Linked DNA regions of Stegostoma tigrinum. The protein of the gene in region 1 interacts with the protein of each later gene in a pairwise test. Links are inferred from orthologs where the notes say so. Each region holds a gene or a part of one and is shown in the gene's direction. Other genes may lie near its edges.

The links.
Region 2: the proteins of tex11 (region 1) and mad1l1 interact in a two-hybrid assay, tested with the Homo sapiens proteins (2 studies listed by BioGRID and IntAct). The two-hybrid records come from large-scale screens. The link is inferred for Stegostoma tigrinum from reciprocal best matches to the Homo sapiens genes TEX11 and MAD1L1.
Region 3: the proteins of tex11 (region 1) and efhc1 interact in binary tests that used the Homo sapiens proteins (3 or more experiments, as listed by UniProt). The two-hybrid records come from large-scale screens. The link is inferred for Stegostoma tigrinum from reciprocal best matches to the Homo sapiens genes TEX11 and EFHC1.
Region 4: the proteins of tex11 (region 1) and uncharacterized protein CCDC198-like interact in binary tests that used the Homo sapiens proteins (3 or more experiments, as listed by UniProt). The two-hybrid records come from large-scale screens. The link is inferred for Stegostoma tigrinum from reciprocal best matches to the Homo sapiens genes TEX11 and CCDC198.

Annotation. Positions count from the first base shown.
Region 1 is NC_081368.1:40,548,457-40,556,162, reverse strand, and holds the start of tex11 (testis-expressed protein 11), read left to right. Parts: upstream 1-4,508; 5' UTR 4,509-4,609; coding exon 4,610-4,652; intron 4,653-7,706. UniProt on the Homo sapiens protein: Regulator of crossing-over during meiosis. Involved in initiation and/or maintenance of chromosome synapsis and formation of crossovers.
Region 2 is NC_081376.1:19,811,349-19,820,138, reverse strand, and holds the start of mad1l1 (mitotic spindle assembly checkpoint protein MAD1), read left to right. Parts: upstream 1-5,655; 5' UTR 5,656-5,676; intron 5,677-5,896; exon of another isoform or gene 5,897-5,967; intron 5,968-6,184; exon of another isoform or gene 6,185-6,292; intron 6,293-8,790. Other genes in the region: nudt1 (oxidized purine nucleoside triphosphate hydrolase), read right to left, coding at 1,936-2,081, 3,851-4,002. UniProt on the Homo sapiens protein: Component of the spindle-assembly checkpoint that prevents the onset of anaphase until all chromosomes are properly aligned at the metaphase plate.
Region 3 is NC_081362.1:98,695,438-98,703,123, forward strand, and holds the start of efhc1 (EF-hand domain-containing protein 1), read left to right. Parts: upstream 1-4,283; 5' UTR 4,284-5,950; coding exon 5,951-6,013; intron 6,014-6,320; coding exon 6,321-6,542; intron 6,543-6,699; coding exon 6,700-6,987; intron 6,988-7,686. UniProt on the Homo sapiens protein: Microtubule inner protein (MIP) part of the dynein-decorated doublet microtubules (DMTs) in cilia axoneme, which is required for motile cilia beating.
Region 4 is NC_081363.1:49,544,618-49,552,630, reverse strand, and holds the start of uncharacterized protein CCDC198-like, read left to right. Parts: upstream 1-4,470; 5' UTR 4,471-4,587; coding exon 4,588-4,816; intron 4,817-6,053; coding exon 6,054-6,136; intron 6,137-8,013. UniProt on the Homo sapiens protein: May be involved in tuning the metabolism, energy expenditure, and excretion processes.

The DNA of each region.
Region 1 (7,706 bases):
CCATGGATATTCAGGTTTGGCTAAATAATTTATTATTTTTCTGGTGATTAAACGTCTGAGGCTACATCTGGCAGCTGTGGTCAGACACGATATTGGTACTTTGGAGCAATTCCTTTGGAGTAATTTGGGCTTATACTTCTTCTTAAATGTTCTTGTTCCCTGTGGTCATAAAAACATTTACAGCTTTACAGTTAAAATATTGTTTAGTGTTGTCGATCATTTATGTAAGCACTAATGTTACATCCTTTATGTCAGAGAGCACCAGACTGTTCAGTACTTAGTTAAATTATCACTGACCTGAAGATCATAACAATAATATCTCTTGAATAAATAATTGATTGCAAATTGTTCTAACATTTTGAGGAAGACATGTTGGGGAAGAGATTATCTAGCAATCCAAGACCAATTGCAAATGAACAAATCATTCTCGCTCATACTTTCCATGTAAAATAGACTGGTTTCCAGTGAGAAATAATATCATTTAGCTTCCTGAATCTGTACCAACATATAGTTTGATCATTGGTTAGTCCAAGATTGGCAGCCTTTTTAAAATCAAAAATTAGTGAGATTGTCAACTCAGTGTGTTAAGCATCCTCTGGTGTGACTTCATTCCCTATTTTGGCAGGGCACTCTGCTGCATTTGCTGCAGAGGTAAATGAGGGTGAGAGAGTACATAACTTGCTTGTCTGTTTTCTCTGGGCCCCGTTTACGGCCACCTGTGCCTTTAGTTTTAGTTTGCCTCTTCTAATGCCCTTCCAGCCAATCCATCTGAGTGGGCATTACAATCAACAACTGTTGCATTTGCACAACTTGGTGAGAGTGCGTCTTGGATGAGTGGCTCACATTCGGTATTGCACTCGAGTGACTCAAATTTACTGTTCCAATTATGCTTTTTGGAGAGAATGGCCTGCCTTCTGTGTCGCATTTTGTGGGAGGCACCCACAGTTGGTGCCGCAGTGTAGAGAGAGTGGCCAGTTCTGGGGAGAATAAACCATGGTTCACAGAGCTTTTTTGGGCAATGGCCTGAGAGTTGCATTGCTTTCTGGGGTGAGGGGTTCACAGTCAGCATTATGTTCATGGGCAAAAACAGAAGTTGCTGGAATAGCTCAGCAGGTCTCAGCAGAACTGAGGAAGGGCTACTGGACCTGAAATATTAACTCTGATTTTTTTTTTCTGCACAAATGCTGCCAGAGCTGTTGAGTTTTTCCAGCAACTTCTGTTTTTGTTCCTGATTCACAGCACCTGCAGTCCTTTTTACATTCATGGGGCAAGAGGCTTGCTGTTGGCATTGCTTTCTGGAGGGTGGAGCTACTGGTTGGCCAAGCTTTCGTGTGCAAGGGACCTGAGAGTCATATTGCTTTCTGGGGTGAAGGGTTTGTAGTTGGTGTCAAATTTGAACACTCTGCAAAGAGTGGCCCTCAGTTGAGCACTCTTGGGACGCTGACACGGTCAGACAGTCTGGGGTTGGTGGCCTGTGTTGACCAGTATGGGAACTGTGGCTTGTAGCCAGCCTTGCATTCATGGGCATATCAGTTGAGTGGTCTGGGAAAGTGGCTCACGGCTGAGCAGTACGGGAACAGTGGCCTGTGTTTGAGCCGTTTTGGGATAGTTGTCCACGGTTAAGCATTCTGGGGAGACTGGACAGATGTTGGTGCTGGATACCCTGGGGGAGGGCAGCCCTGTCAGCGTTACATTCTGGTTGAGGGGCCTGCTATTGGTGTTGTATTTGTGGGGTAAGCGGGTAGTGGTTTGCATCACGTTCTGCGGAGAGTGGTCCATGGTTGAGCAGTCTAGGGAAAGTGGCCTGTGGTTGCCGTTGCTTTTTGTAGGGTGGGACCTATAGTTGGCTGAGCATTCTAACCAAGGAGCCCCAGGGTCGGCATCGCGTTCTGATTAGAATGGACAACTGTTGATGCCACATTCTATATATCACATTGACTGGTGAGGAAACCTGCAGTTAGCGTTGCGTTCATGGGCCACGTTGGTGGCAGAGCAGTATGGGAACAGTGCCCAAAGTTGATGGCACATGCGGTCAGTCTGGGAAGTGCGACATGCAGTTGAGCTTTCTGGGGTGAGGGGCCTAATGTTGTTTCCTAACATTCTAGGTGACTTGCTTGCAGTAGCTTTGCCTTCAGTTATTCTGGAAAGAGTAGTCCGTAGTCATTATGCTGGTGAGGTCTTTTCTGGAATTTTCTGTCCAGTTCTGATCACCCTGTTATAGGAAGGATATTATTTATTAGGTTGGAGAAGTTTCAGAAGAGATTGGTCAGGATGTTTCCAGGAATAAAGGATTTGAGTTATAAGGAGGGGTTGGACAGACTGGGACTTCATTCACTGGAATGCAGGAGGTTGAGAGATGATTTTATAGAGGCTTATAAAATAATGAGACATACAGATAAGGTGAATGGTAGGTATCTTTTCTCTAGGTGGGGGATTTCACGACTGGGGGCTTATTTTTAAGCTGAGAGATAGAAGATTTGAAAAATGCACGAGGGGCAGTTTATTTGCACAGAGTGGTTGGTGAGTGGAATGAACTTGCAGGGAATGTGTTAGATGCAGAAAAGTTACAATGTCTAAAAGACATTTAGTTAACTACATGAATAAGAACTGTTCAGAGGGCTATGGGCCAAGTGCAGGCAGGTGGGACTAATTTCGTTGGAACTGTAGTCGGCATGAACTGGTTTCTGTGTTCTCTGACTCTGCCTCTAGTTGAAAAGTCTGAAGAGATTACATGCTGTCGAGCAGTCTCGGATGGGTGGGCAGAATTTGAGCCATCTTCGCTGTTTTGCAATATATTGAAAGGGACGTATAGTCAGTGTCGCATTCGAGCAGGCTGAAGTGAGGGGCCTGTGGTAGATGTCTCATTGTGGGATGAAGGGCCCATGTTTGGCATTGCATTCTGGTCAGATTGGCCCACTGTGAGCGTCAGTCCAATTAGGGGGCCTGCAGTTGATATTGCCTACTGGGTCCAGCAGCCCGTGTCGGTGTTGCAGTCTGGGGGAAGGGGCAAGTGGTCAGCTGTTGAACAGTGTGGTCTGATTGGCCAGAGTTTGAGCAGTTGGGGAATATGTCACGGTGGAGGAGGATCGGACCTGGGATCCAAGCTGGAATGAACTCTGATGAATGGCCTGTGTTTATGCAGTCTTGGAAAAATGGGCCATGATCACCATTGTAGTCTTTGAAAGTTGCATGTGTTCAAACAGTATGGGACAAGTGGTCTATGGTCATCTAATCTGGGAAGTGTGGCCCACAGTCAGTGTTGGAGTCTGGAAATTTGGTCTGCATTCGGCATCGCAATTGAGCTATCTGCTTTGAGCGAATTGAAATTGGAGTTGTAGACATGTATTTTGGAGAGAACAGTTGGCAAGCCTAGGGCAATTGGACTGACATTGGCATTGCTTTTGTGCCCTGTGTGGAGAGAGCCAGGCAGTCAAGATGTTTGCAGTGTGTGGACTACGGTTGAGCCATCTGACGCATGCCCGCAATCGATCAACGTGTAAACAGGACCCTTACAATGATGTCATTCTGGGATAGTACCCTGCGGTTGAGCATTTTTGGAAGAGTAGTTAGCAATCAGTGTGGCATTTTGTGGAGAGGGTCCTGTGGTTGGTATCATGGTCTGGCCAGAAAAACGTGTGCTATGCCTCGGGTGATTGATTGCCAGAGGGCAGTGCAGCCTGGTGCAAAGGGTGTGCGGGCGTGGTCATATTCTAGGGAGAAGGGTATACAATTAGCTTTGCATTCAACAAGTGGTCTGCAGTCAAGCAGTGTGGGGAGAGTAAACGCAGTCAAGCAGAGGGAGGTGGTTTGCCAGATTTCAAGTTGTTTTTAGTTGTTAAGCTGTCTAGTGAGAAGGTCCTGCATTTGTGTTGCAGGCTGGGGTGAGGGCGCATGCTATCAGAGTCACATTCTGGGGTGAGGCCCCCGCAGCAGATGTTACATTCTGAGGCGAGGGGTCCAAGTGCGCTGTCGACTTCCGGGATGAGGGGCCTGTGTGCAATGTCACGTTCTGGGCCGAGGAGCCTGCGGTCAAAGTCACATTCTGGGGCGGTGGGCTCATGATTGGAATCACATTCTGGGGCGAGGCACCTGTGTGTGATGTCACATTCTGGGGCATGGGGTGCACGGCCAAATTCCTCTACTGGGGCAAGTGACCCATGGGTGAAGCCGCATTCTTGGGAACAGGGGTCTATCACTGCCTTGCTCTCCTGCTCTCCCCTCTGTGTCTCTCTGTCTGTCTGTCTCTTGCTGTCTCTGCTCGCTCTTGCTCCCCACTCTCATGCTGTCTATATTTGCCTCTCTACATGGTCCTTAATCAATCAGCCTCAGCATTGTAGTATCCCTATCATTTTAAATACTGTACCAAAAACCCTTGCCTTCTAACAAAATCCTGGAGTTGTGACAGAACTTCTAAAATTAAAGAAAACAACAGCTAGTCGATGCTCTGGGGAAATACATAGTCACAGGGACAGCTGCCTGGAACCATCATTCAGTTAGAAAATCCAATTCGCACAACAACTCTAAAAGAACAGTGAACCGGATCTAAGGCAACAACTAACTGAGAAATCATGGAACCTTACAGCTACCAAGACATCCAGCATCAACGAATATGCATGATGTGAAGCAGCCATTGTTGGGCTGGGGTGGACAAGGTCAGAAATCACACGACACCAAGTTACAGTCCAACAGGTTAATTTCAAAACACGAGCTTTCGGACCCTCAGTCCTCCTTCACATGTTAGTGTAAGAGGTAGTATCAGACACAATTTGTAAGTAAAAGATCAAAGGATCACAACATTGAGGATATCCTAAAGAAACATAGGATGCTGTTAAATCTTTAATCTTGGTCCGGAGAGAACTCAAGGTTTTATCAGTGTAAACAAGGGTGACATTTTACATCAGATAGTTCATGTTAGATGTGAGACCTTGATTAGAATGTGTTTATGTTTTAGATTAGAATCAAAGTAGTTTTATTTCTAAAGTATGAATTTATAAAACCATACATTGACTGAATGCCTACAAATTGTGTGCTTTTTGAACAAAATGGAATGTATCAGCAAATACAAATTCACTCAATAGATTTAGTGTATGTCTACCTGTGTGTGTGTGTGAGGGTGTTCAGAGAGAGAGAGAGAGAGTGTGTGTGTGTGTGTGTGTGTGTGTGTTGGGGGGGAAGTCTGTGTGTGTTTGTTGGTGGCGAAGTGTGTGTGTGTGCGTGTGTGTGTGTGTGAGTTGAGGGGGAAGTGTGTGTGTGTGGGGGGGAATGTATGTGTGTGTGTGGGGGGGCGGAATATGTGTGTAAGTGGGGGGGGAATGTGTGTGTGTGGGGGGGGGAATGTGTGTGTGTGTGTGGGGGGGGGAATGTGTGTGTGTGTGTGTGGGGGGGGAATGTGTGTGTGTGTGTGTGGGGGGGGAATGTGTGTGTGTGTGTGTGGGGGGGGAATATATGTGTGTGTGTGGGGGGGGGAATATATGTGTGTGTGTGGGGGGGGGAATATATGTGTGTGTGTGGGGGGGATTATGTGTGTGTGTGGGGGGGGATTATGTGTGTGTGTGTGGGGGGGGATTATGTGTGTGTGTGGGGGGGGGATTATGTGTGTGTGTGGAGGGGGATTGTGTGTGTGTGGGGGGGGGATTATGTGTGTGTGTGTGGGGGGGGGATTATGTGTGTGTGTGTGGGGGGGGGAATATATGTGTGTGGGGGGGTATGTGTGCGTGTGTGTGGGGGGGAATGTGTGCGTGTGTGTGGGGGGGAATATGTGTGTGTGTGGGGGGGGAAGACGTGAGTGTGTGTTGGGGGGAATATGTGTGTGTGGGGGGGAATGTGTGTGTGGGGGGGGAATGTGTGTGTGTGGGGGGAATGTGTGTGTGTGGGGGGAATGTGTGTGTGTGTGTGGGGGGAATGTGTGTGTGTGTGTGGGGGGAATGTGTGTGTGTGGGGGGAATGTGTGTGTGGGGGGGGAATCTGTGTGTGTGTGTGGGGGGGAATCTGAGTGTGTGTGTGGGAGGAGGAGAATGTGTGTGTGTGGGGGGGGGAGTGTGTGTGTGTGTGTGTGTGTGTGTGTGTGTGTGTGGGGGGGGGGGAGAGTGTGTGTGTGTGTGTGTGTGGGGGGAGGTGTGTGTGTTGGGGGGGGAATGTGTTTGTGTGTGTGGGGGGTGCGAAATTGTGTGTGTGTGGGGGGAGGGAATGTGTGTGTGTGGGGGGAGGGAATATTTGTGTGTATGTGGGGGGGGAGTGTGTGTGTGTGTGGGGGGGGAGGGAATGTGTGTGTGTAGGGGGGGAATGTGTGTGTGTGGGGGTGGGGGAGAATGTGTGTGTGTAAGGGGGGAATGTGTGTGTGTAGGGGGGGAATGTGTTTGTGTGTGTGCAGGGGGGGGAATGTGTTTGTGTGTGTAGGGGGGGAATGTGTGTGTGTGGGGGGGAATGTGTGTGTGTGGGTGGGGGGGAGTGTGTGTGTGTGTGTGTGTGTGGCGGGGGGAGAATGTGTGTGCGTGGGGGGGGAATGTGTGTGCGTGGGGGGGAATATCTGTGTGTGAGTGGGGGGGGAATGTGTGTGTGTGTGGGAGGGGATTGTGTGTGTGTGTGGTGGGGGGAAATGTGTGTGGTGGGGGGGAAATGTGTGTGGTGGGGGGGAAATGTGTGTGTGGTGGGGGGGAAATGTGTGTGTGGTGGGGGGGAAATGTGTGTGTGGGGGGGAAATGTGTGTGTGGGGGGGGAATGAGTGTGTGTTGGGGGGGAATGAGTGTGTGTGGGGGGGGAATGTGTGTGTGTGGGGGGGGAATGTGTGTGTGTGGGGGGGGAATGTGTGTGTGTGGGGGGGGAATGTGTGTGTGTGGGGGGGAATGAGTGTGTGTGGGGGGGAGGAATGTGTGTGCGTGTGTGAGTGTGGGGGGAATGTGTGTGTGTGGGGGGGGGAATGTGTGTGTGCGTGGGGGGGGAATATGTGTGCGTGGGGGGGGAATGTGTGTGTGTGGGGGGGGGGGAATGTGTATGTGTGTGGGGGGGAATGTGTGTGTGTGTGGGGGGGGAATGTGTGTGTGTGCGGGGGGGGAGAATGGGTGTGTGTGTGTAGGTGGGGGAGGGGAATGTGTGTGTGTGTGTGTGTGTGTGTGTGTGGGGGGGGGAATGTGTGTGTGTGTGTGTGTGTGTGGGGAGTGTGTGTGTGTGGAGGGAATGTGTGTGTGTGGGGGGAATGTGTGTGTGGGGGGGGAGGGGAAATGTGTGTGTGTGTGTGTGTGTGGGGGGGGGGGGAGTATGTGTGGGGGGGGAGTGTGTGTGTGTGGGGGGGAGTGTGAGTGTGTGGGGGGGAATGTGTGCGTGTGTGTGGGGGGGAATGTGTGCGTGTGTGTGGGGGGGAATGTGTGTGTGTGGGGGGGAATGTGTGCGTGTGTGTGGGGGGGAATGTGTGTGTGTGGGGGGGAATGTGTGTGTGTGTGTGTGGGGGAATGTGTGTGTGTGTGTGTGGGGGAATGTGTGTGTGGGGGAATGTGTGTGTGTGTGGGGGGAATGTGTGTGTGTGTGGGGGGAATGTGTGTGTGTGTGTGGGGGGGGAATGTGTGTGTGTGTGGGGGGAATGTGTGTGTGTGTGGGGGGGGAATGTGTGTGTGTGTGTGGGGGGAATGTATGTGTGTGTGTGTGGGGGGGAATGTGTGTGTGTGTGTGTCGGGGGGGAATGTGTGTGTGTGCGTGGGGGGGGAGAATGTGTG
Region 2 (8,790 bases), on another chromosome or scaffold:
CTTCTTCACAAATGCTGCATCTTTCCTGAGGGTGTTGATTAGTGCATTGATCAAACTTAATGTACCAAAATGGAGATCACTTCATGATAACCAGCCAGAATCTTGTAATGGAGCAATCCAGGTGCAGCAGTACTATGTAGTGATGTATGACAAGAAGTGTTTACGGGGGTGCATGCGGTAGTTGGGGCAAGACCATGGCAGTGTCAGAAAACATGCTTACTTGACCTTAAAATACCTTTCATAAGAAACAGGAATGGGAGTAGGTCATTCAAACTCTTAAGCCTGCTCCACCAGTCAACAACAACACAGCTAATCTGCTCCAGGTCTCAACTCACCAATATCTCAAAAATCTATCTACTTACTCTTTAAATACTTTCAGTGATCTAACCTCCACATTTTTCTACAGTGGAAAATTCCAGACATTTGCTGGGAAAGGAAATTCCTTCACATCTCCGTTTTCAATGAGTGTACTCTGATGAGATTTCCTACTAGTTAAAACATCTCAACGTTTACTATTAAACCCATTCAGACTCTTCTATGTGTCAACATGAAAAAAAACTCTCATTCCTGTGAAATGTAATGAATAAAGGCCAAACCAAAAGGCCACTATTGATAAGTCAGCCCCTTCATCCTAGGAATCTACCCAGGTGAAATCTCTTTTGAACTGCCTCCAATGCAAATTGGGAGCAAAATTGTACACAGTACTCCAGTTGTGGCCTCATCAACACTTTGTACAGTTCAACCAGGACTTTCCTACTTTTAAAACTCCAAGCCCCAGCAATAAAGGTCAAAATTTCATCTACCTTTTTAATTATTTGCTCATCTGCATGTTAACTTTGTATTTCAGGCACAAGAACACCCAGACCTTTCTATGTTGCACTCTCTTTGGAGTCTCCCCTCTTTCAAAAAATAATTTGCTTATTGATTCTTCCTACCAAAGTGGATGACCTCACACTTCCCGTGATTAAACTCTGTCTGCCATGCTTTTGCCCATTCAACCTATTGATATTGTCTTGCTGATACCTTTTGATCTCATCACAACATAACCTCCCACCTATTTTTGTATCATCAGCAAATATGGATGCAACACATTTTGTCCCCTCTTCCATCATTAAAATATATAGTATAATTGAGGCTCCAAGATTGATCCTTGCAGCACTTCACTGGTTACATCTTTTCAACCTGAAAAGATCTATTAATCCAGACTCTGTCTTCTTTGTGTTAACCAATACACAATCCACATTAATACACTACCCTCAATACTGTGAGCCCCTATCTTGTGCAATAACTATTTTGTGGCAGCTTATTTAAATGCCTTGAAATCTAAGCATACTACATTTACCAGTTTCCCTTTATCAATTCTGCATGTTATATCCTGAAAGGCCTCCAGTAAAAGACCTCCCTTTCACAAAACTTGACTACTTGATTGTGTTAAGCTTTTCTAAATGTTATTTCTTCCTTAATAATGGATTCTAGCATTTTCCCAGTGACTGATACCTGACCTACAGTCTCTTCTTTTTAACTCCCTCCCTTCCTTAAGTGGTGTCACATTAGCTGCTTTCCAATCTGTAGGAACTCTCCAGAAATTCAGAGAGTTCTGGAATGTTTTGATCAATGCTTCTACTATTCTCCGTAGCAACTGCCTTTAAAGGCCATTAGATCCTGGCAACTTGTCAGCTTTTTGTCCAATGAGTTTGTCAATTACTTTGTCACTCATTATAAGGACTGTTCAAAGATCTTTTCCACTATTAGCACCTTGTTTATTTTACTGTCTTCCATCTCCAACAATTATGTAAAAAAAACTGGTTTACATGATCTGCCATTGTCTTGTTACCCATTAAATCCCCGGTTGCACTGTCCAATGATCCCACACTTACTAGAGCTACTCTCTTTTCTAAGTACCCAATGAATTACTTTTAAAGCAGGGTCACTTACCATCTGATTCCATTGGTTCCCCTTTGTAACTATCTGTAAGGAATATGTGAACATCCAGTAGTTCTGCCTCATCTACAAATTCAAACTTGATTCGTCCAATTTTTTCCAGGCTGTCCACAGTCAGACTGCTCTCCTCCCATAATTCTCTGAGGAAGAAATTAGCTTAACTTCAAGAACAAATTTAAAAGAGGTTTCAAAAAAACATTTCAAATAGCTGGAACAGAGGACACGGTCAGTCAGACTCTTCTGTTTACCTCTAACATTTAATGAGATTATGTCTTGTCAGTACCTCAATTCCATTGAGCAGACTGAATTACATTAACTGACTCGCAGAATAAAAAAAGGCCAACATTTTCACTGATACCTTGTGTTTACAGGAAGCATGGTACTAACCCTCCCCAGACTAAAGGCTTCTGGATTTGAACATTTATCTGTGATGAACTATACAATTTTTAAAAAGGAGCCTGAGGCAGACTGCGCAAGTCGATAAATTTCCAGAATTTGGATTTTTGAAGAAGAAATGAATTTAGTTAATACTGTGGGGGAGTTCATCAGAAATTCATTTGAACAGTGACCTAAATAGAAGATTTCTAAGTACAACATGAGACATCAGTCAACTATGGGATGAAATTCTTCTCCTGATGAGCTTATTAACAGTTGAATAAATATATCATGGAATTTGTTTCATTTTGACTTCAAAGCAGAAGAAATAAGTCACTTTTACAGAAGTAGTTTTGAGTCAGTGGAGCTTCAAAGCAGGAAGAATTCATATAGAAATCATTCATGTTAGAAATGAGAAAGTTTACACAGTCAGAATTGTCTCATGTTAACAGACTCAGAAAGCAATCATAACAGTTAATTAAAGGTTTAAAAAGCTGAGATAAGAGTGCTATTTCTCAGGAATGGACTTTCTGTAAAGGACTGGTGTTGGGAAATAAGATGAAACTTTGTTTTGGTGTTTGTGTTAAGAGTATTTTTAAACTGTGTTGTGTGTGTATATTATACAGTTTTGTTTATTTATTCCTCTTTTGTGTCGTAAATTTATGTTCTGTTGTATCTGCAGCCTTGTGAGAATGTTTCAGTGACTAACTGTCATGATAAATAACTGCAAAGATTAAACATTTGAATCATCAAACCAAGTTTCATTGTCAGACCTGACTTGTGACTGTTACCATCAGGTGGGGTTACATAATAGTACCAGTAATTCAGTTATGTGGAGAAACTGGAGAAGTTGGGGCTGTTCTCACACACCAGAGACATAGGCATCATCAACAAGGCCAGTTTTTGTTGCTGTTCCATTTCAGAGGGCAGCTAAGAATTGAATACACTGTTTTGTGATCTGGAGTTACACATAGGCAACACCGGGTAATGATGGCAGATTCATGAAGCAGATGGGTTTTTACAACAAAGTTTCATAGCTACTAGTACTGACACCAGCTTTCGGTATCAAACTCAGTGATTGAACTTAAATTCCAGCAGCTGCTGCGGTGGATTCTGAACCCATGTTTCCAGTGAAAGTTAAGGGACAACTCAATAGAGGTACCCAAAATGTTGAGAGGTTTTGAAACAGCAGATTGGGAGAAAACATTTCCATTCGCGGGACAGCAAGTAACCAGAGATCACGGTTTTAACATAGTTAGCAATATAAAACAGAGAGGGTACGAGAAGAATGTATGTTTTACAAAGTGAGTTCTGATGATTTGGAATGTATTGCTTCAAAAGACGTTGAAAGTAGGTTAAATAATAGCTTTCAGAAAGAAATTGGGTATGTGTTGGTCAGGATACAATTAGACCTGCCTGTCACGTCCTCTTTTGTTGTACAGAATGCCAATGCAGCATGGCTGCTATGGACCCCGGTGAGAGTGATCACCTTTGTCAGGAGCATGAAGGGAACAATAAATAGCACAGGCATTACCTTTTTGCTCCTTCTTCAATGGTTTCTCCAGGCTGCACTTTGCCTCCAAAACCATTCCAGCGATTGGCCCCAAAACCCCGTTTCTTCCATCCCAGGAGGATCTTTTGTTGCCTTACAACCATCACCAGAGTCAACAGCTTTGTGGTGATCATCTTTCTGCAATAGTATTTTCTCAATAGCTGGCAGCTCTTGGTCGGGAAGAAATTGTGTAGAACAGCTTTGGAACCACATTCAATAACTTGCAATTGATGTATAGTTAAATTTCCAAGATGCTCCTCAGGAACATAAAACAAAAATACCTGTGATCAAGTCACATAATGAGATTTTAGGACAGGTGGCAAAAACAAGGCCAACGTTTTTGGTTCTAAACAAAGTCTTAACGGGTGAGAGCAGAGATTTAGAAATGGCATTCAAGAGTTTGGGGCAAAGAAGCTGAAGATATGGTCACACAGGGAATTGTTGATGTAACACAGGCCAGAGCTCAAAGCTCTGGAGACTGCAAAGATCATGAGGAAATGAAGCTTTGAAGCAGCTACCAACTCTGATAGTGTGATTCCATTGAATCATAAAACAAAAAAACCTCCATGCTCGCTCCTCAGAAGGCAGCAGAATTTGCCAGGACCATGTTCAGAAAAGAATGTGCACTGATGTAATGCTTTTCATGTCTTCTGTAAGTCCCAATTTAATTCTTCAAACGCATGCACTTCTAATGTAATCTTATCACTAGAACACATTTGCACAGGTATATGAATAGAAAAGGTTTAAGAGGGATATGAGCCAAACACAGGCAAATGGGACTTGTTTAGTTTGAGAACATGGTCAGTATGGACTGTTTGAATCTGTTCGCATGTGGTTACTGCCACTGCCTTGTCTCATTTCCTCCTTTTTAAAAGTGCCATTGTTTTGATCATCTTTTCACAAAATTCCAAAACAATGCAAATGTTTATAAAACAGTCATCACTGCTCCTAGAATTCGAGGAAATCAGCTCCAACACTGAAAATACCTCAAAAAACAAACAGCTCTTAACAGCCACTATTTTTTCCTGTCCTCTATCTTGGAGGGACATGGATAGAGTAAATAGACAAGGTATTTTCCTCTGGGTGGAGAGGAAGGGGGAAGTCCAAAACTAGACAGCACAGGTTTAAGATGAGAGGGGAAAGATTTGAAAGAGACCTCAGAGGCAACTCTTTCAAGCAGAGGGTGGCGTGTGTATGGAATGAGCTGCCAGAGGAAGTGGAGCAGACAGGTTCAAATACAACATTTAAAAGGCATCTGGATGGGTATATAAATAGGAAGGGTTTAGACGAATATGGGCTAAATGCTGGAAATGGTACGAAATTTACTTCGAATATCTGGTCGGCATGGCCGAGTTGGACGGAAGGATCTGTTTCCACGCAGTTCACTCTGTTAAGTGCGTTTTCCTAAGTTAAGGACAACTAAAACTAAAAATTTACATCAGAACAATGTATCCATGGAGGGAAAAAGCAGAGTTAACGGGTTCGAGTCCAAAAAGAGTTCATGGACTGGAAATGTCAACTCTTTCTCTGTTCACAGATGCTGCCAGACCTATTGAGTTTCTCCAGCGCGCTGTTTTTTGTTTCACATTTCAAGCAGCCGGAGTTCTTCATGTGATTATAATAAACAATGTATCCATTTCTGGCTTTCGATGAAAGGAAGATTTGTTACATTTGTGATCCTGGGTCAGGTACCTGATTGACTGAACTCTTTACATCCGCAGACTGCACTCTCTCCTGGATTAGCACAGGGGCCACCAAGCACCAACGATTAGAATCGATTCATTACTCGCCGACAGCTGTCGCACGAGGTGAGTTACATTCTGCACACGCCGGCTGGAAACATAATATAAGAGCATTTTTGTATATCGTTGTATTGAAGTAACGCAGCTACTTCAAAGCAGGATGATTACATTTCCGTTGATATGTATTTATTCTCTTATATTTTATTAATATCGTGGCGACTGGCGCAAGACTTTTGTTTTCTAGAGTCTACTTTGACTGGAAGTGTTTGTGGAGTTGTGTTTGGTTGGGGGACAGAGTTAGTTGTGACTCGCGGAGCTGGGAGCTCGGTGTTGAGCGCTTTCGCGCCATATCGCCTGGTAAAGGCCCAGTTTGCGTTTTGCATTGATTTAAAAGCGTTTTATCTCCTTACCGAACGTTTCGTAAAGAACCTAGCACTTACAGCGCTGTTACTTATCTTAAGTGTCACCGCAACTTGTATTCATATAGCGCCTCTGACATAGTGATCCGCTCCCCCGCCGCTCTGAATTGGAATGTCATGAGAAAGATTTCAAAACCGAACCACATAAGAAGGTGCTCAGTCAGAAAACCGAATAATTTGGCTTTGGAGGGCCGCTAAAGGAGGGGAGGGATTGAGATATTTAGGGAGGAAAATTACGGAGATTGTGACCCGGACAGCTGAAGGTATGGCTGCTAGCGTTGGAGCGAATATAACCAGGGATGTACTAGACCTGAGATAATGGGAACTGCAGATGCTGGAGAATCCAAGATAACAAAGTATGGAGCTGGATGAACACAGCAGGCCAAGCAGCATCTCAGGAGCACAAAAGCTGACGTTTTGGGCCTAGACCCTTCATCAGAGACGGGGACGGGGAGAGGGTTCTGGAATAAATAGGGAGAGAGGGGGAGGCGGACCGAAGATAGAGAGAAAAGAAGATAGGTGGAGAGGAGAGTATAGATGGGGAGGGGATAGGTCAGTCCAGGGAAGACGGATAGGTCAAGGAGGTGGGATGAGGTTAGTAGGTAGGAAATGGAGGTGCGCCTTAGGGTGGGAGGAAGGGATGGGTGAGAGGAAGAACAGGTTAGGGAGGCAGAGACAGGCTGGGCTGGTTTTGGGATGCAGCGGGGGAAGGGGAGATATTGAAGCTGGTGAAGTCCACATTGATACCGTTGGGTTGCAGGGTTCCCAAGCGGAATATGCGTTGCTGTTCCAGCAACCTTCGGGTGGCATCATTGTGGCACTGCAGGAGGCCCATGATGGACATGTCATCTAAAGAATGGGAGGGGGAGTGGAAATGGTTTGCAACTGGGAGGTGCAGTTGTTTATTGCGAACCGAACGGAGGTGTTCTGCAAAGCGGTCCCCAAGCCTCCGCTTGGTTTCCCCAATGTAGAGGAAGCCACACCAGGTACAGTGGATACAGTATACGATATTGGCAGATGTGCAGGTGAACATCTGCTTAATATTGGAAAGTCATCTTGGGGCCTGGGATGGGGGTGAGGGAGGAGGTGTGGGGGCAAGTGTAGCACTTCCTGCGGTTGCAGGGGAAGGTGCCGGGTGTGGTGGGGTTGGAGGGCAGTGTGGAGCGAACAAGGGAGTCACGGAGAGAGTGGTCTCTCCAGAAGGCAGTCAAGGGTGGGGATGGAAAAATGTCTTGGGTGGTAGGGTCGGATTGTAGATGGCGGAAGTGTTGGAGGATGATGCATTGTATCCGGAGGTTGGTGGGGTGGTGTGTGAGAACGAGGGGGATCCTCTTTGGGCTGTTGTGGCGGGGGCGGGGTGTAAGGGATGTGGATGTGAGTTTGCTCGCTGAGCTGGAAGGTTAGTTTTCAGACGTTTCATCACCATTCTAGGTAACATCATCAGTGAGCCTCCGACGAAGCGCTGGTGTTATGTCCCGCTTTCTATTTATCTGGTTAGGTTTCCTTGGGTTGGTGATGTCATTTCCTGTTCTTTTTCTGAGGGGATGGTAGATTGGCTCCAAGCCAATGTGTTTGTTGATGGAATTCCGGTTGGAATGCCATGCTTCTAGGAATTCTTGTGCATGTCTCTGTTTGGCTTGTCCTAGGATGGAGTTGTTGTCCCAATCAAAGTGGTGTCCACTTTGTAAGGATACGAGTGATAGTGGGTCATGTCGTTTTGTGGCTAGTTGATGTTCATGTACCCTGGTGGCTAGCTTCCTGCCAGTTTGTCCAATGTAGTGTTTGACACAGTTCTTGCAAGGTATTTTGTAGATAACGTTCGTTTTATTTGTTGTCTGTATAGGGTCTTTTAAGTTCATTAGCTGCTGTTTTAGTGTGTTGGTGGGTTTGTGGGCTACCCTGATGCCAAGGGGTCCGAGTAGTCTGGCAGTCATTTCGGAAATGTCTTTGATGTAGGGGAGAGTGGTTATGGTTTCTGAGCCCGTTTTGTCTGTTTGTTTGGGTTTGTAAGGGATGTGTTGCGAGAAATGCAGGAGATGCGGTCAAGGGCGTTCTCGACCACTGCGGCGGGGGGGAAGGTTGCGGTCCTTGAAGAACTTGGACATCTGGGACCTCAAGCCGCACCTCCATTTCCTACCTACTAACCTCATCCCACCTCCTTGAGCTGTCCGTCTTCCCTGGACTGACCTATCCCCTCCCTACCTATACTCTCCTCTCCACCTATCTTCTTTTCTCTCCATCTTCGGTCCGCCTCCCCCTCTCTCCCTATTTATTTCAGAACCCTCTCTCCATCCCCCTCTCTGATGAAGGGTCTAAGCCCGAAACGTCAGCTTTTGTGCTCCAGGGATGCTGCTTGGCCTGCTGTGTTCATCCAGCTCCACACTTTGTTGTCATATAGTAGACCTGAATTAGAGGAACGCTGTGAAATCAGAAGGTTGTAGCAGGGAAAGGAGATTGGTTAAATTAAGAGTTTTACACACAGCCAATCCCTATCTGAATCCATTCGCTCATGCCATGGTCCACCTACAAGTTTGCTTTTTCTTGCTGGTCAGCCACATACCATTTCGTATCGGACTAACTAATTCTTCCAATGCTCTATTCTCTGCAACCAGCACTGAATTCTGTGAAATCAGCTTTTCGGATCCGCTGACCTTTCATTCTCAGACGTTAGCTCTGCTGCCTCTCCACAGATGCTGCTAGGCCGGATAAGGCTTTCCAGCAATTCTTGTTTTTGTTCTAGATTTCCAATATCCGCTGTTCT
Region 3 (7,686 bases), on another chromosome or scaffold:
CTTTCATAATTACAAGGTAATTCTAGGTAACTATGAATGTCAAAAGATGGTACAAATGGTGTGAGTGGAGTGTTAACAGGCTGAATGGAATACATATCCATATGGGGTAAATTGGAGCTGGATACAGACACTGAGGACGGAGATGTGGCTGGAAAGATTAATTCTAATGACAAGATGTGATATTCAGCCTGTCAATGCTCCATTCACACCCTTTTGACATTCTTAATTCCCTGGAATTATCTTGCAATTATCTCTCCACTTCACCTGATGAAGGAGCAGAAATATGAAAAGCTTGTGATTTAAAATAAACCTATTAGACTATAGTCTGGTATCATGTGTCTTCTGATCTGATTCAAACCATGAAAGATGAACTTCAGTTGGAAATCCATAACCACATGGGGTAAATTGGAGCTGTAGACAGGACACTGAGGAAGGAGATGTGGCTTTGAAAGGTCATTCTAATGAACACCTTATCATACAATAAGAGGGAAATTAAAAGCAAGACTCAAAAACAATAATGGAGGTTGTATTTAGCCCCACTCCCAAACAATAGTAGTAACGTTGAGGAAGGCGTCAATCAAGAAATTGGACTTACAAGCAATTAAGTTATAGCTGTAATTAGGGGCAATTTTAATGTATATATAGAGTAGGTGAATCAAATCGGAAACAATATTACAAAGGAGGAATTCCTGCAGTATGAATGAGATGGTTTTCTGGACCAATGCATTGAAGAACCAACTAAAGAACAGGCCAGAGATAATGGGAACTGCAGATGCTGGAGAATTCCAAGATAATAAAATGTGAGGCTGGATGAACACAGCAGGCCAAGCAGCATCTCAGGTGCTCCTGAGATGCTGCTTGGCCTGCTGTGTTCATCCAGCCTCACATTTTATTATCTAAAGAACAGGCCATCCTAGGCCAGGTCTTGTGTATTGAGAAAAGCATAATTGGCAATCTAAGTGTGCAAGGCCCTTGAGGAAGAGTGATCAAAATATGATAGTATTCTTCATTAGGATGTAGAGTGACACAGTTGATTCTGAGACTAGGCCCTGAATCTAAGTAAAGGAAACTACAATGGTATGACGTTTGAGGCATCTATGATAAATTGGGGAGTGTTACTTGAAGAGATGACAGTGGATATGCAATGGCAAAAATTTAAAATGCGCAAGGAGAAACTGCAACAATTGCTCATTCCTGCCCACAAAACATATGGAAACAGTGGATAACAAGGGGAAGTGAGGGATATCATTAAATCTAAGGAAGGGGCATACAAATACAAAAAAAAGCAACAGTCTTGAAAATTGGGAGCAGTTTAAATTTCAGCAATGAGGACAAAGGGATTCATTAAGAAGTGGAATATTGAGTGTGACACCAAGTATGAGGGATACGTACAAAAAAATTAGTGAAGCCAAATGAAGATCCCTTACACTCAGAAACAGGGGATGTTAAAACGGGAAACAAAGAGATGACAGGCCAATTAAATAAATATTTTGGTTCTGTCTTCACAAAAAAAGGATTCCAATATCACTGCAAAAGTGTTGGGAAACCTGGGCTTCAATGGTAAGGAGGAAGTGAAGGAAATAAGTATTAATAGAGAAATGGTTTTGGGAAAATTGATAGGATTAAATGCCAATAAATCCCCAAGGCTCCATAATCAATATACCACAATGTTTAAGGATATGGTCCAAGGATGCATTTGTGGTCATCTTTCGAGGTTCTATAGACTCTGGAACATTACCTATGGATTGAAGGGTTTCTAATGTAACGCCACTATTTAAAAGCATAGGCAGAGGGAAAAGGAGGAGTGATAGAGGTTGCTCTGATGGTAGTAAGGAAAATGCTAGAGTTCATTATAAAAGATTTAGTAGCTGAATGCTTAGAAAATGGTGACATGATCAGATAGAGTCAGCATGGATTTATGAAAGAGAAATCATGTTTAACAAATCTACCAGAATTTTTTGAGCATCTGACCTATAGAGTTGGTAAATTAGAGCCAATGGATGGAAGATAACAAAGTGTGGAGCTGGATGAACACAGCAGGCCAAGCAGCATCTCAGGAGCACAAAAGCTGACGTTTTGGGCTGAGACTCTTCATTAAAAAGGGGAAGGGGAGAGAAATAAATAGAGAGAGAGGGGGAGGCAGACCAAAGATGGATAGAGGAGAAGATAGGTGGAGAGGACAGTATAGGTGGGGAGGGGATAGGTCAGTCCGGGGAGGACGGACAGGTCAAAGAGGCGGGATGAGGTTAGTAGGTAGGAAATGGAGGTGCGGCTTGAGGTGGGAGAAGGGGATAGGTGAGAGGAAGAACAGGTTAGGGAGGCGGGGACGAACTGGGCTCGTTCCTCTACATTGGGGAAACCAACCGGAGGCTTGGGGACCGCTTTGCAGAACACCTCCGCTCGGTTTGCAATAAACAACTGCACCTCCCAGTCGCGAACCATTTTAACTCCCCCTCCCATTCTTTAGGTGACATGTCCATCCTCAGCCTCCTGCAGTGTCACAACGATTGCACCCGAAGGTTGCAGGAACAGCAACTCATATTCCGCTTGGGAACCCTGCAGCCCAATGGTATCAATGTGGATTTCACCAGCTTCAAAATCTCCCCTTCCCCCACCGCATCCCAAAACCAGCCTAGCTCGTCCCCTCCTCTCTAACCATTCCTGCCACCTCAAGCCCCACCCCCATCTACCCACTAATGTCATCCTGCTTCCACATCCTTTTTATAATGCGGTGACCAGAACTGTACGCAATACTCCAAGTGCGGCCGCACCAGAGTTTTGTACAGCTTCACCATAACCTCTTGGCTCTGGAACTCGATCCCTCTATTAATAAAAGCTAAAACACTGTATGCCTTCTCAACAGCCCTGTCAACCTGGGTGGCAACTTTCAAGGATCTGTGTACGTGGACACCGAGATCTCTCTGCTCATCTACACTACCAAGAATCTTACCATTAGCCCAGTACTTTGCCTTCTGGTTACTCCTACCAAAGTGCATCACCTCACATTTGTCTGCATTAAACTCCATTTGCCACCTCTCAGCCCAGCTCTGCAGCTTATCTATGTCTCTTAGCAATTGTTATCCATTTGTGGAATCCCATTTAATGTTGGAAAATATGTTCTGAGTTTTGCATGCACAGTCTGGTGGAGTACAGTCAGCAGTTTACCTGTTGCAGACGGACAAGGGGACAAGCTGTTTGATATAATCCTTCACTTGTTTGGATTTAACAGCCTACATATCTGCCAATCACAACAGCACTGGATCTCATATGCCCAATTACTCAATTGCATGGAATGCAGAACAACATTTTGGCTCATCAGCAACATTGTGTTAGTGGTGAACAGTTCCCTTGTTGTTTCTGCTTAGGAGCAGAAATAAATGGCTAATGCCATCTGATGCTCAAAATTAATACCATACCCTTCCAACATAATCTGAGGCTGACTGAGCACTTTTCTGGATCAAAAATACAGTCTTAGGTATTTGGGAATTCTTAGTGATCAGGAATAATTAGGAATTGGGAATATTTTAGAAAAGGGAATCAGGAATTATTGGGATCAAGAATATTTGGGTATCAGGAATAATTGGGAACATTTGGGGATTGGGAATATTTTGGGGTCAAGAATACTTTGATTAATGGGAATTGGATACATTGATAAATGGGAATATTTAGGAATTAGGAACTTTGGGGGAATTTGGGATATTTAGGGAACAGGAGTGTATGGGAATTGAGAATGATTGGAGATTGGAAATTGGAAACATTTGGGAATTATCAATACTTGGTACATTTGGGAAATGGAATACTTGGGGACTAGGACTGATTGGAATTGGAAATAGAAGTTGGGAGTTGCTATTGGGAAATTGGAATTGGCACTATTTGGGAACTGGGAATTGTTTGGAATTGGGAATGATTGAGGATGAGGAATATTTGGGAAATGAAAATTGGAAATGATTGAGGATTGGGAATATTTAGGAAATGAGGATTGTTGGGAATTGGAAATGATTGAGAATTTCGATTATTTGGGAGATGGGAATTGGGAATGATTGAGGATTGGGAATATTTGGGAAATGGGGATTGTTGGGAATTGGGAATGAGTGAGGATTGGGCACATTTGGGAGATGGGGTTTGTTGGGAATAGGAAATGATTGAGGATTGGGAATATTTGGGAGATGGGAATGTGGTTAAAAACAAGGAGAAAAGCGACTCCGATTCTCAGCCAATCCGCCCTCGGATTGACGTGTTGCCGAGTGAGCCTGGCTTGTTTACTGTTTCCATAGAAACAGATTCGGAGCTAAACCGAGAAGAAAAAACCGGTTATCACCGAGAGAGACAGAGTGTGTGTGTGTGGGTGAGAGAGAGAGAGACAGAGTGTGTGTGGGTGACAGAGAGAGACCGAGTGTGTGTGGGTGAGAGAGAGAGAGACAGAGTGTGTGTGGGTGAGAGACAGAGAGAGAGACAGAGTGTGTGTGGGTGAGAGACAGAGAGAGAGAGTGTGTGTGGGTGAGAGACAGAGAGACAGTGTGAGTGGGTGAGAGAGAGACACAGAGAGACAGAGTGTGTGTGGGTGACAGAGAGACACAGAGAGACAGAGTGTGTGTGGGTGAGAGAGAGAGAGACAGAGTGTGTGTGGGTGACAGAGAGACACAGAGAGACAGAGTGTGTGTGGGTGACAGAGAGAGCCAGAGTGTGTGTGGGTGAGAGAGAGAGAGACAGAGTGTGTGTGGGTGAGAGAGAGACACACAGAGTGTGTGTGGGTGACAGAGAAACACAGACAGAGACAGAGTGTGTGTGGGTGAGAGAGAGAGACAGAGTGTGTGTGGGTGACAGACACAGAAAGAGACAGTGTGTGTGGGTGAGAGAGAGACACAGAGAGAGACAGAGTGTGTGTGGGTGAGAGAGAGAGAGAGACACAGAGAGAGACAGTGTGTGTGGGTGAGAGAGAGACACACAGAGTGTGTGTGGGTGACAGAGGCAGAGAGAGAGAGACACTGTGTGTGGGAGAGAGACAGAGTGTGTGTGTGAGAGAGACAGAGAGAGAGAGAGACAGAGTGTGTATGAGAGAGAGAGAGACACACACAGAGAGTGTGCGAGAGACAGAGACACAGAGAGAGAGAGAGACACAGAGAGAGAGACAGAGTATGTGTGTGAGAGAGAGACAGAGTGTGTGTGTGTGAGAGAGAGATAGAGTGTGTGTGTGAGAGAGAGAGAGAGACAGAGTGTGTGTGTGTGTGTGTGTGTGAGAGAGAGACAGATAGAGAGAGACACACAGAGTGTGTGCAAGAGGCAGAGAGACACAGAGAGAGGGAGACAGAGTGTGTGTGCGAGAGAGGGAGAGACACAGTGTGTGTTGTCTGTGTGTGCGAGAGAGAGATACAGAGAGAGGGACGGAGTGTGTGTGTGTGTGTGTGTGTGTGTGTGTGTGTGTGTGAGAGAGAGAGAGACGGAGTGTGTGTGTGAGAGAGAGACACACACATACGCAGACACACACATACAGAAAGACAGTTTTGTGTGCATGAGAGAGGGATAGAGGGACACAGAGAGAGAGAGAGACAGTGTGTGTGAGTGTGTGTGAGAGAGACAGAGAGACACAGACAGAGGGACAGAGTGTGTGTGTGAGAGAGAGAGACACACAGAGTGAGAGTGTGAGAGAGAGAGACGCAGAGACAGGGAGACTGTGTGTGTGTGTGTGTGTGTGTGTGTGAGAGAGAGAGACAGAGAGACCCACAGACAGGAGAGAGAGTGTGTGTGTGAGAGAGAGAGAGAGAGACAGGGTGTGTGCACAAGAGAGATACAGAGTGTGTATGTGACAGAGTGAGTGAGAGAAAGTAGGAGAGAAAGGGGTGTGTGTGTGTGTGTGCGAGAGAGAAAAAAGAAGAGAGACAGAGAGATAGAGTGTGAGACAGAGATAGATTGTGTTGAAGGAGAGGGAGAATTGCCAGCCAGGGCAGAGGCAATGTCCTGCTATCCTGTGCGGGGGCTCCCACTCCTCCCAGGCAATACTTTCCGGGACCCCACGGTGAGAGGGACATCGGGGGGGGGGGGGGGGTCATTGGAGGAGGGAGATGGGTAATGGAGAGATAGAGTATCAGGGAGAGAGAGAAAGAGACGGGGTTATTGGAGGGAGAGAGAAGCAGACGGTGAGGGTGAAGAGCATCGATGAAGGAATGGGCCGAATGGATTAATCCTGCTCCTATATCTCATTGGGTTTTTGAGGAAAGAATGCAAATGAGGCATGGAGAAGATGGCGAGTTAGGGATTATCTTTAAAAAGGAATGAATTACTTGTTCCTGTTTTGATAATTCTATCATTCTAATTGTCTTTAGAAGTCTAACTTCCATCGATCACAGACTTTCTTCTACAAGAACGGCATTGCTGTCCCTGTTGTGCCCAAGGTTGGGATTGGTGGGGAACCAATCCATGTCAATCAGCTGTCTCTGTCTGATGTGGATGAATTGGCTAATAAAAAACCAACATTAACCTATGGCCAGGCCAAACAGGCCCCACCAGCAGATTTCGTTCCTGGGCACGTGGCTTTTGATAAGAAGGTAATGTTTTTGTAATTTGTTCAACATTCGCCCGCTGAACATATTTTCTATTGCCCCCCCTCTCACGGACCATGCCTTCTCCCTCAATCACATGTCCTGCCTCCCATCACCCACATTGTATTCTTTCAGTGAAAGTGTTCTCTCAATTTTTAACCAGGTGTTGAAATTTGACGGATATTTCAAGGAAACAGTTCACGAATCCCCATATGAATATTATCGGGTTCGACCGATCATCCTGTACTATTACCTGGAGGATGACAGTATTTCCATTCATGAGCCAGAAGTGGATAACTCTGGACTAACTCAGGGCAAACTGATCAACAGACAGCGACTCCCCAAGAATGACCAAGGAGATTGCTGGCATTGGAAGGACCTCAATGTCGCCATGGAGGTGGTGGCATATGGAAAGCGATACCGCCTCACTAGCTGTGACAAATTTACATGTGTAAGTTGGCCTTTCACAAACATTATATCATCTTATAAATATGCAAATATAAGGATCAAGAGTCGGCCACTCGGCCCTTTGAGCCTGATATACAATTCAATAAGTTGGTGGCTAATCTGATTTTAATCTCAGCTCTACATTCCTATATATCCTGATGTTCCTTGGTAATCAATAATCTATTTAACCCTTTAGAATTAAGATTCGAATCAGATTTTATTGAAATAACTATGCAGAGACTGCTATGCTGTCACCAAGTCACCTTTTATTTACATGTGCACAATACACTGGCTGTGACGAGCCAGCTCAGAGTTGTTCCCTGAAGTCAGGAGAGTCTCTAATTCCCCTGTTTATATCTGTCAGTTGGGGCTCTCTGATTGGCCCAATTAAGGATCTCACAGTCGATGAGGCCCACCTAGTTCCAATCTCTACATGTTTATTCACATATAGGAGTACAATGAAAAGACTACATCCGCTGGGTCTTGAGGAAGGGAATTCCAAACATTCACAATCCTCTGAGGCAAAAGATGTTTCTTCATCTCTGTTTCAAATGATTTCTCCTTTATTTTTAAAATCATGACCCCCCCAGTTCTAAATTCTCCTACAAAGGGAGCCATCTTTTCTACATTCACCTGGTCAAGTCTCTTTATGTGCTCTCATTCAGTTACCTCTGAGTGTTCAAACTCCAGAGGATACAGGCCT
Region 4 (8,013 bases), on another chromosome or scaffold:
ATGGGAAATTTGTGCTGTCAGTTCTACAAATTTTTTTAATGTTTTTAAAACATGGGCAAGGAAACCTTCAGCTGATTACCACGCCCAATCCTCCCTCAGCTGGTGATTCGGTACTCTTCCATGTTGAACAACACTTAGAGGAGGCACTGAGGATGGCAAGGGAACAAAACGTACTCTGGGTGAGGGATTTCAATGTCTTGGGAGCAGTACGACTGATCAAGCTGGTCGGCTCCTAAAGAACATAGCTACTGGATTGAGTCTGCGGCAGATGGTGAGGGAACCAGCAAAAGGGGGAAACCTATTTGACATCTTCCTCATCAATCTACCAGCTGTAGATACATCTGTCCATGACAGTATCAGTAAGACTAACCACACAGTCCTTGTGGAGAAAAGGTCCTGCCTTCACATTGAAAATAACCTCCATCATGCTTCGTGGCACTATCATCGTGTTAAATGGGACAAACTTGAACACATCTAGCAACGCAAGACTGGGCATCCATGAGGTACTATGGGCTATCAACAGCAGCAGAATTGTACTCCAGCACAATCTGTAACCGCAAGGCCCGGCATATTCCCCACTCAACCATTACCTGAAGATGAGGTGTCAACCTGGTGCAAGCCACCAAAGAGGACTAGTTTCACCCCAAACAGCAAAAGCACCAAGTGATAGAGCTAAGCAATCCCATAACCAACTGATCAGATCTAAGCTCTGCAGTCTTTTCGCAGCAATCTTCAGCCAGAAGTGCCCAGTTGATGATCCATCTTGGCCTCCTCCAGTGGTCCCCAGCATTACAGATATCAGTCTTCAGCCAATTCATTTCATTCCACCTGATATCAAGAAACGGTTGGAGACACTGTATACTGCAAAGGTTATGGGCTGTGACAACGTTCTAGCAATAGTACTGAAGATTTGAGTTCCATAACTTGCTGCTCTGCTCACCAAGTTGTTCCAGTGCAGTTACAACACTGACATCTACCTGGCAATGTGGAAAATTGCCTAAGCATGTCCTGTACATAAAAAAGCAGGATAAATCCAATCAGGCCAATTACTGCCCTATCAATCTCCTCTCAACCATCAGTAAAGTGATGGAAAGTGTCATCAACAGTGCTATCAAGCAGCCACTGCTCAGCAATAAACTGCTCAGTGACACCCAGTTTGGGTTCCACCAGGGCCATTCAGCTCCCGACCTCATTACAGCCTTGGTTCAAGGGCAAAAGAGCTGAATTCCAGAGATGAAAGTGACAGCCTTGACATAATGGCGGCATTCAACCGAGTGTGACATCAAGGAGCCCTGGCAAAACTGGAATTAATGAGTATCAGAGGCCAAACTCTCCAGTGTTTAAAGTCATACCTGGCAAATAGGAAGATGATCGTGGTTGTTGGAGGTCAATCATCTCAGCTCGAGGGCATCTCTGCAGGAGTTCCTCAGGGTAGTGTCCTAGGCCCAATGATCTTCAGCAGCTTCATCAATGACCTTCCTTCCATCACAAGGTCAAAGGGGGGGATGTTTGCCAATGATTGCATAATGTTCAGCACCATTCACAACTCCTCAGACACCAAAACAGTCCATTTCCAAATGCAACATGATCAGGGCAATATCCAGATTTGGGCTGACAAGTGGCAAATAACATTCATGCCACACAAATGCCAGGCTATGACCATTAGCAATAAGAGACTATCTAACCATCATCACTTGATATTCAATCGTTACCATCACCGAAGCCCCAACTGTCAATATCATGGAAGTTATCATTGATCAGAAGCTCAACTGGACTCACTACATAAACTCAGTGGGCCACAAGAGCAGATCAGAAGCTAGGATTACTGCAGTGTGTAACTTGCCTCCTCTCTCCTCAAAGTCTGTCCACCGTCTACAAGGCACAAGTCAGGAATGTGATGGAATATTCCCCAGTTGCCTGGATGGGTGCAGCTCCAAGAACGCACAAGAAGCTTGATACCATCCAGGATAAGGCAGCCCGCTTGATTGGCACTACATCTACAAGTATTCACTCCCTCCACCACTGACTCTCCAGAGCAGCAGTGTGTACTGTCTACAAGATGCACTGCAAAAATTCACCAAAGATTCTCAGACAGTGCCTCCCAAACCCACAACCAATTCCAATTAAAAGGACAAGGGCAGCAGAAAAATGGGAACACCACCACCTTCAAGTTCCCCTTCAATCCACTTACCATCCTGACTTGGAAATATATTGCCATTCCTTCACTGTCACTGGGTCCAAATCCTAGGGTTCCCTCCCTAATAGCATTGTGGGTCAACCCACAGCAAGAGGACTGCAACAGTCCAAGAAGGCAGCTCACAACCACTTTCTCAAGGATAACTGGGTATGGGCAATAAATGCTGGCCAGCCAGCGATGCCCACGCCTACAAATTGGAAAAAAAAAGGTCTTTAAAATGAGACTGACACATGGCAAGGGCTCTCTATGCTGCAAAAGATACATTGTTTTGGGGGGGATACAGTGCAGACGTGCTCAAGTGATACTAGAAACAGTAGGGTTAAATTATTAAGACTGGCAACATAAATGTGGTTTGCATTCTTTTGACTGCAGAAGCTTAAGCAATGGTCCAATCAACTCTTGAAAATGTTAAAGAGATTCAGGACAACAGGTATAATAAATCTATTTCCTTTAGTTGGGGATTCCAGGACAAGTTTGAGAATATTAGTAAAAAGGCCCAGAGGACCTTGAGCATTAACATAGAGGCATGGAATAAACAAGGAAATTATTATGCCTCTTTATAAACATGGGTTTGACCTCAACTTAGAAAGGGAGTATAAAAGATTTATGCAAAAGTTTCATGGATGAGGGATTTCAGTTAAATGATACAAAAGCTAGGATTAGTTTTAGAGAATATTGAGAGTTGTTTCAAGTTGTTCAAATTTGTGATTGATCGAGTTAGGGACAAATTGCTGTCATTGGTGAAAGGGTCAAAAAGCAGAGGATACTGAGTTAAGATGGTTGACAAAATAATCAAAGGCAACTTGAGGGAAACCATTTTTATGTAGTTCAGGGTTTTGATTTGGAATGGATTGGTGGATTCAATCATAGCTTTTGAAATGGAAGTGCAATACTATTTGCAGAGAGCCAGCATTGGCTTGAAGGACCAAGTAGCTTTCATATGTGCTTTGTCTATTCTATAATTTGATAAGAGGTACAATAAGTTAATGAAATGAGGAAACACTTCTTAGCTGACCTTTGTCAGAAGTTAACAAGTGATTGAGAAAACATATGGCATATTGACCTTTATTACAAGAGGATATGAGTATTGGAGTGAAGATGTCTTATTGCAATTATGCAGATCTTTTGTGAGTTCACATTTGGTATATTGTGTATGATAAAAACCAAAAAAAACTACGGGTGCTGTAAATCAGGAATAAAAACAAATTTGCTGGAAAAGCTCAGCAGATCTGGCAGCATCTGTGAAGGAAAAAACAGCGTTAACGTTTCGGATCTGGTGACCCTTCCTCAGAGCTATATTGTGTGTGATACTGGTATGTTTACCTAAGGAAGGATATGCTTGTCACAGAGTGAGTAAAACAAAGGTTCCCCAAACTAATTCCTGGGATGGTTGTTTAGTCCTATAAGAGGAAATCAGACGAGCCTATATTCCCTGAAGTTTAGAAGAACGAAAGGTGATTTCATTCAAACAGGGGAAATTCTTACAAAGCTTGACAGCGTAGATACAAGAATGATGTTTCCCCTGGTTGGGGTGTCAAGAACCAGGAGACACAATCTTAGAGGCAGGGGCACACCATTCAGGACTGAGCTGGGAAAGAATTTCTTCACCCAGAAAGTGGTGAATCTTTGAAATCCTCTGACCCATGAGACTATGGAGGATTGCTGTTTAATTATGTCCACAATTGAAATTGATAGATTTCTACATCTTAAAACAGAATCAGGGATAGTGCAGGGAAATAGTGTTGAAGTAGATCAGCTATGATCTCCTTGAAAGGCAGAAGAGACTCAGGGCTGAATGGCCTACTCCTGCTGTCATTTTTAATGCTCTCAGAGATGAGTATAGTATGCCAGGATGAAGATGGGGAATGAAATTTTCTGAGCAATATTGAGAAGGGCACAAGAAGGCTCATTAGATTTGAAAGATTAACCCTGCTTTCTCTTCACAGATGGTGCCAGTTTCTCCAGCAGTTTATGTTTGTTTCAAATCAACATCCGCAATACTTTGTTTTATTGTCACAACACGACCTCTTCCGTTAACTTTTCCAGTGTGCCCTTCGATGGTAAAATAAAGACAGCGATGAACAAAGTAAGGAGCATGCTATCCAGATGCAAATTGCTTTTTAAGAGCGGATTATTCCCTGCCAGTGTTTGTAGGTCAGGCATGACTGAGTTCAGCATTTCAGAGACTTGGGGGGCGGGTGGCTGCAGACCGGAGCGGGGATGGTAACTCTTTAACCCGAGATGGAAGAGTTTGCAACAGGGGCGTTACCTCGGTAACAGAAAGCCTCCCCGGGGAAGCTGTAGTTGATTATAATGGAAATCTCCAAGGCAGACTCAGACCGGCACCTCACACACGCTTGTCCTGATGCTTAGAGAGTGCATGGGCGAAGATGGGTTCGGGATGGTCAAGAGGCCAACGCAAGCTGATCCAGGTGAGGCCGCTACCCGCAGCCCAGGCGGCTATTTGCCCCGGAGTGCAGCGGTACGGCAGCAGCCGGGTAGACAGCTCGCTTGTGATACACGACCACCTGAAGGCAGCCTCTCTGCGCCGAGGGAGCGAACTTCCTCCCCTGAAGGAGGTGCGAAATGGCACTCACGCACTACCCAACCTCAGGCAAGGTAGGTGCAATGTGGGCTCGGAGCGGGGAGGGGGCTTGAGCAATGTCAACGTTCAGCAGGATTTATAGTATTCACTCTCTCTGAATCGTTTTTTGTTTTCACAGAGGATGATTAGCGAAAGATTCGTAAAGTTGGTGTTTTGTACAATCTCCAGATTATTTAGTTCCATTACTCCGTTGGGCGGAAGAGCAGCCTTTTACAAGAGAATCTGTTTGTGCAAATACATTTTCCATTCAGCAGCTTTTCAAGTCCATTAACTTCTGTCTCCACAGTTGATTGTAATTTCTTACAGATCAGGGAGCTCAAGGATTTGTCAGTTTCCTTGTGCATTTCACTTTGTTAATTATTATCCAAATTTACATATAACTTTAGCGTTTGTTTCGGCAAAAAAGGTCATTGGTGTTTTTGTGCTGCTAGTGTTTGACATGGCGACCTGCGAGGACGCTTGGAAGTGCTGTCCATCAGAGGAATTTTGATGTGGCAGTCCACAGTTTCTTGAAGGCAGCAGGTCGGCTGGCGAAGGAGCATGTAGGATACTTGCCTTTATTGGTCAAGGTATTGACTACAAGACCAGGGCAGGCTACGATGAAGCCGGAAGGAAGATGAGTTAGGCCGCAGCTAGAGAGCTGTGTGCAGGTCTGGGCGCCGCTCTATAGTAAGGATATGATTGCACCAGAGATCACCAAGATGTTTGAAGATAAAGCGATCCAGCTATGAAGAGAGACGAGATAGGCCCATCTCTGGAGAAGGGTCTAGGACCGAAACATACTTCCTACTTCTCAGATGCTGCTTGGCCTGTTGTGTTCATCCAGCTCTACACCTTGTTATCCGAGATAGGCTGTGTTTTTTCTAAAGATGGCTGAGGGAGACGCAGGGAACCTGATTGAGGTATACAAAGTTATGAAGGGCATAGCAAACTTTCCCCTTAGGAAGGGGGTCACTAATGGGGTGGGGAGGAGCTGCATTGGCACAGATTTAAGGTATGCAGCAGTAGATTTAAAGGGAATTAAAAAAAATAAATCACACAGGTAAGAATCATCAAAACATTTCAGAAATATTTAGATATCTACTTGAAATGCAAGTGTGTATAAGGCAATGGGCCAAATGCTGGAAGGTTGAATTGGACTTTAATATAATGCTTGATGACCAGCATGGATGTGAATGGGACAAAGGGCCTTTTCCTGTGCTGTAAAAACTGTGTGACTCTATGTTTTTCTTTATATTTTCACCTTTCAAGTACCTCGTGCCTTCTCATTTGAAAGCAGTTTGGATGATGGGGAAAGGAGCATCATCAAAAAACATCCTCCCCGAAAATTTGAGGTGAGAAGTATTTGAACTAAATTATTTTGCAGCTGTCAACATGCCGAGTCTGTTGTAAATTAGTCAAAAAGTAAGAACAGACAGAAATTCTAGCTGGTATCATGTCCTGGGAAATGACTGTCCTAACGCTCAATGGTGAGGATAGTTGGAGGCTGGATGTACACTGAATGATGTTCACCTGGAGCATGTGGAATTGAATACATGGGAATTGTACAGTAAATGGAAACTCTTGATGGGCGGTTACCTGGTCTGGAACTCACTGAAAGGCTCCCCGATTGAATTAGAACTGAAGTCTTTGGAAAATTCAGACTGGCTTCATGGAATCCCTGCAGTGTGGAAGCAGGACTTTCGACCCATTGAGTCAAAACTGACTCTCTGAAGAGCATCCTACCCAGACCCACACCTTACCCTATAAATTCCATGGCTAATCCTCCTACCCTGCACATCCTTGGACTGTGGGAGGAAACCCCAGCACCTGGAGGAAACCCGCACAGACACAGGGAGAATGTGCAAACTCCACACAGTTGCCAAAGGCTGGGATCGAATCCAGGTCCCTGGCACTGTGAAGCAGTAGTGCTAACCACTGAACCACTCTGCTGCCTCAACTTGCCTGAATATTAAGTCAGGAATATCAGATAAGTTTGTTGCAGTACTACAGTGGCCTGAAAATTTGTTGGAGCAGGATTGACAGGAGTCATGTGTAGAACCCTTGAGAATTGCCCAGGAAGTTAAATTTTCTGATGGGTGATTGTCCTGCGTCTGGACTCCTTCAAAAGAGTCAATTAATGTCAATTAATGGAGGGCTCAAATTCATTTAAGCTCAATAGTTACTCTAGAAAGGTAAAAAAAACATTTCTTTGCCATTGGTAACTATCAACTCTTCCCCCAATATCATCATTGGCACTACGACAGCTGCTGAACCCTAACATACCCAGAGTAACATCCTATACCCCTAACTTAACCCCCTTCTTCGCTGGCCTGTTATTGCCACCCTCTCCTTCACTTCACCTCTCCCATCACCCAATGTGTTCCTATTGATGCTAAGATCCATCATCCCTGACCCAAGCTGAACGAGAGATCCAACCCCACCAGCACTGCCTAAATCCCCAATCTACTTGAGCTGGTACCATCTTCCCACCCAGTCTGGCCCTGCTGGACCCAATACCGCTCCCTGACAATAACTGTTCCTCCCTGCAACCTACCATGAGCACCCTCCTGGTACCCTACCTCCCTCATTTACCTAGCACCCTATCTCCCTCACTCACCTGGCACAATGTCTGTCTTACTTTACAGACTTACTGTCTTCTCAGTTATTGTTGGTGGTTTTGGGGCCTTTCATTCCTGAAATACAGCATCATGTCATGAAAAAGAGGCACGTTCTGGCCTGTAATGCAACTCTGACATTGGGTGATTTTCTGCCTGCTTATCTCCCATGGATGCATTCAGGCCAGACCAGACTCAGAATCTTGGCTGGAGAAATCTGCAACAGGTAAATGGGCAATTTTTAAGAAGAATATCATAAATTGAATCTGTTCTGGCAGTTTTTGGAATATCTAGACCAATGTTTCTTGCCATCTATCTTCATTAGATCTGCCAGCAATTAGTATGGCTTGTGGCATTGGCCACATGACTACGGAAATCACATTAGCACATGTTGCATTTCCATCCAAATGGAACCAAACATTGCTGTAACTCCTGGCTCACCATAGAAGTGACTCTCTCAATCACTCAAACTAATGTAGCATGGACACCAGACCATCCCTCTGACTGCCAGAAACCTAAGAGATACCCAATATCACCCCATCTCAGACATGTGCCAGTCTGTCCCAACTCAGTGAATTTGGGTCCTTTAAATCCTGAAATGCTGCAACTAGTGT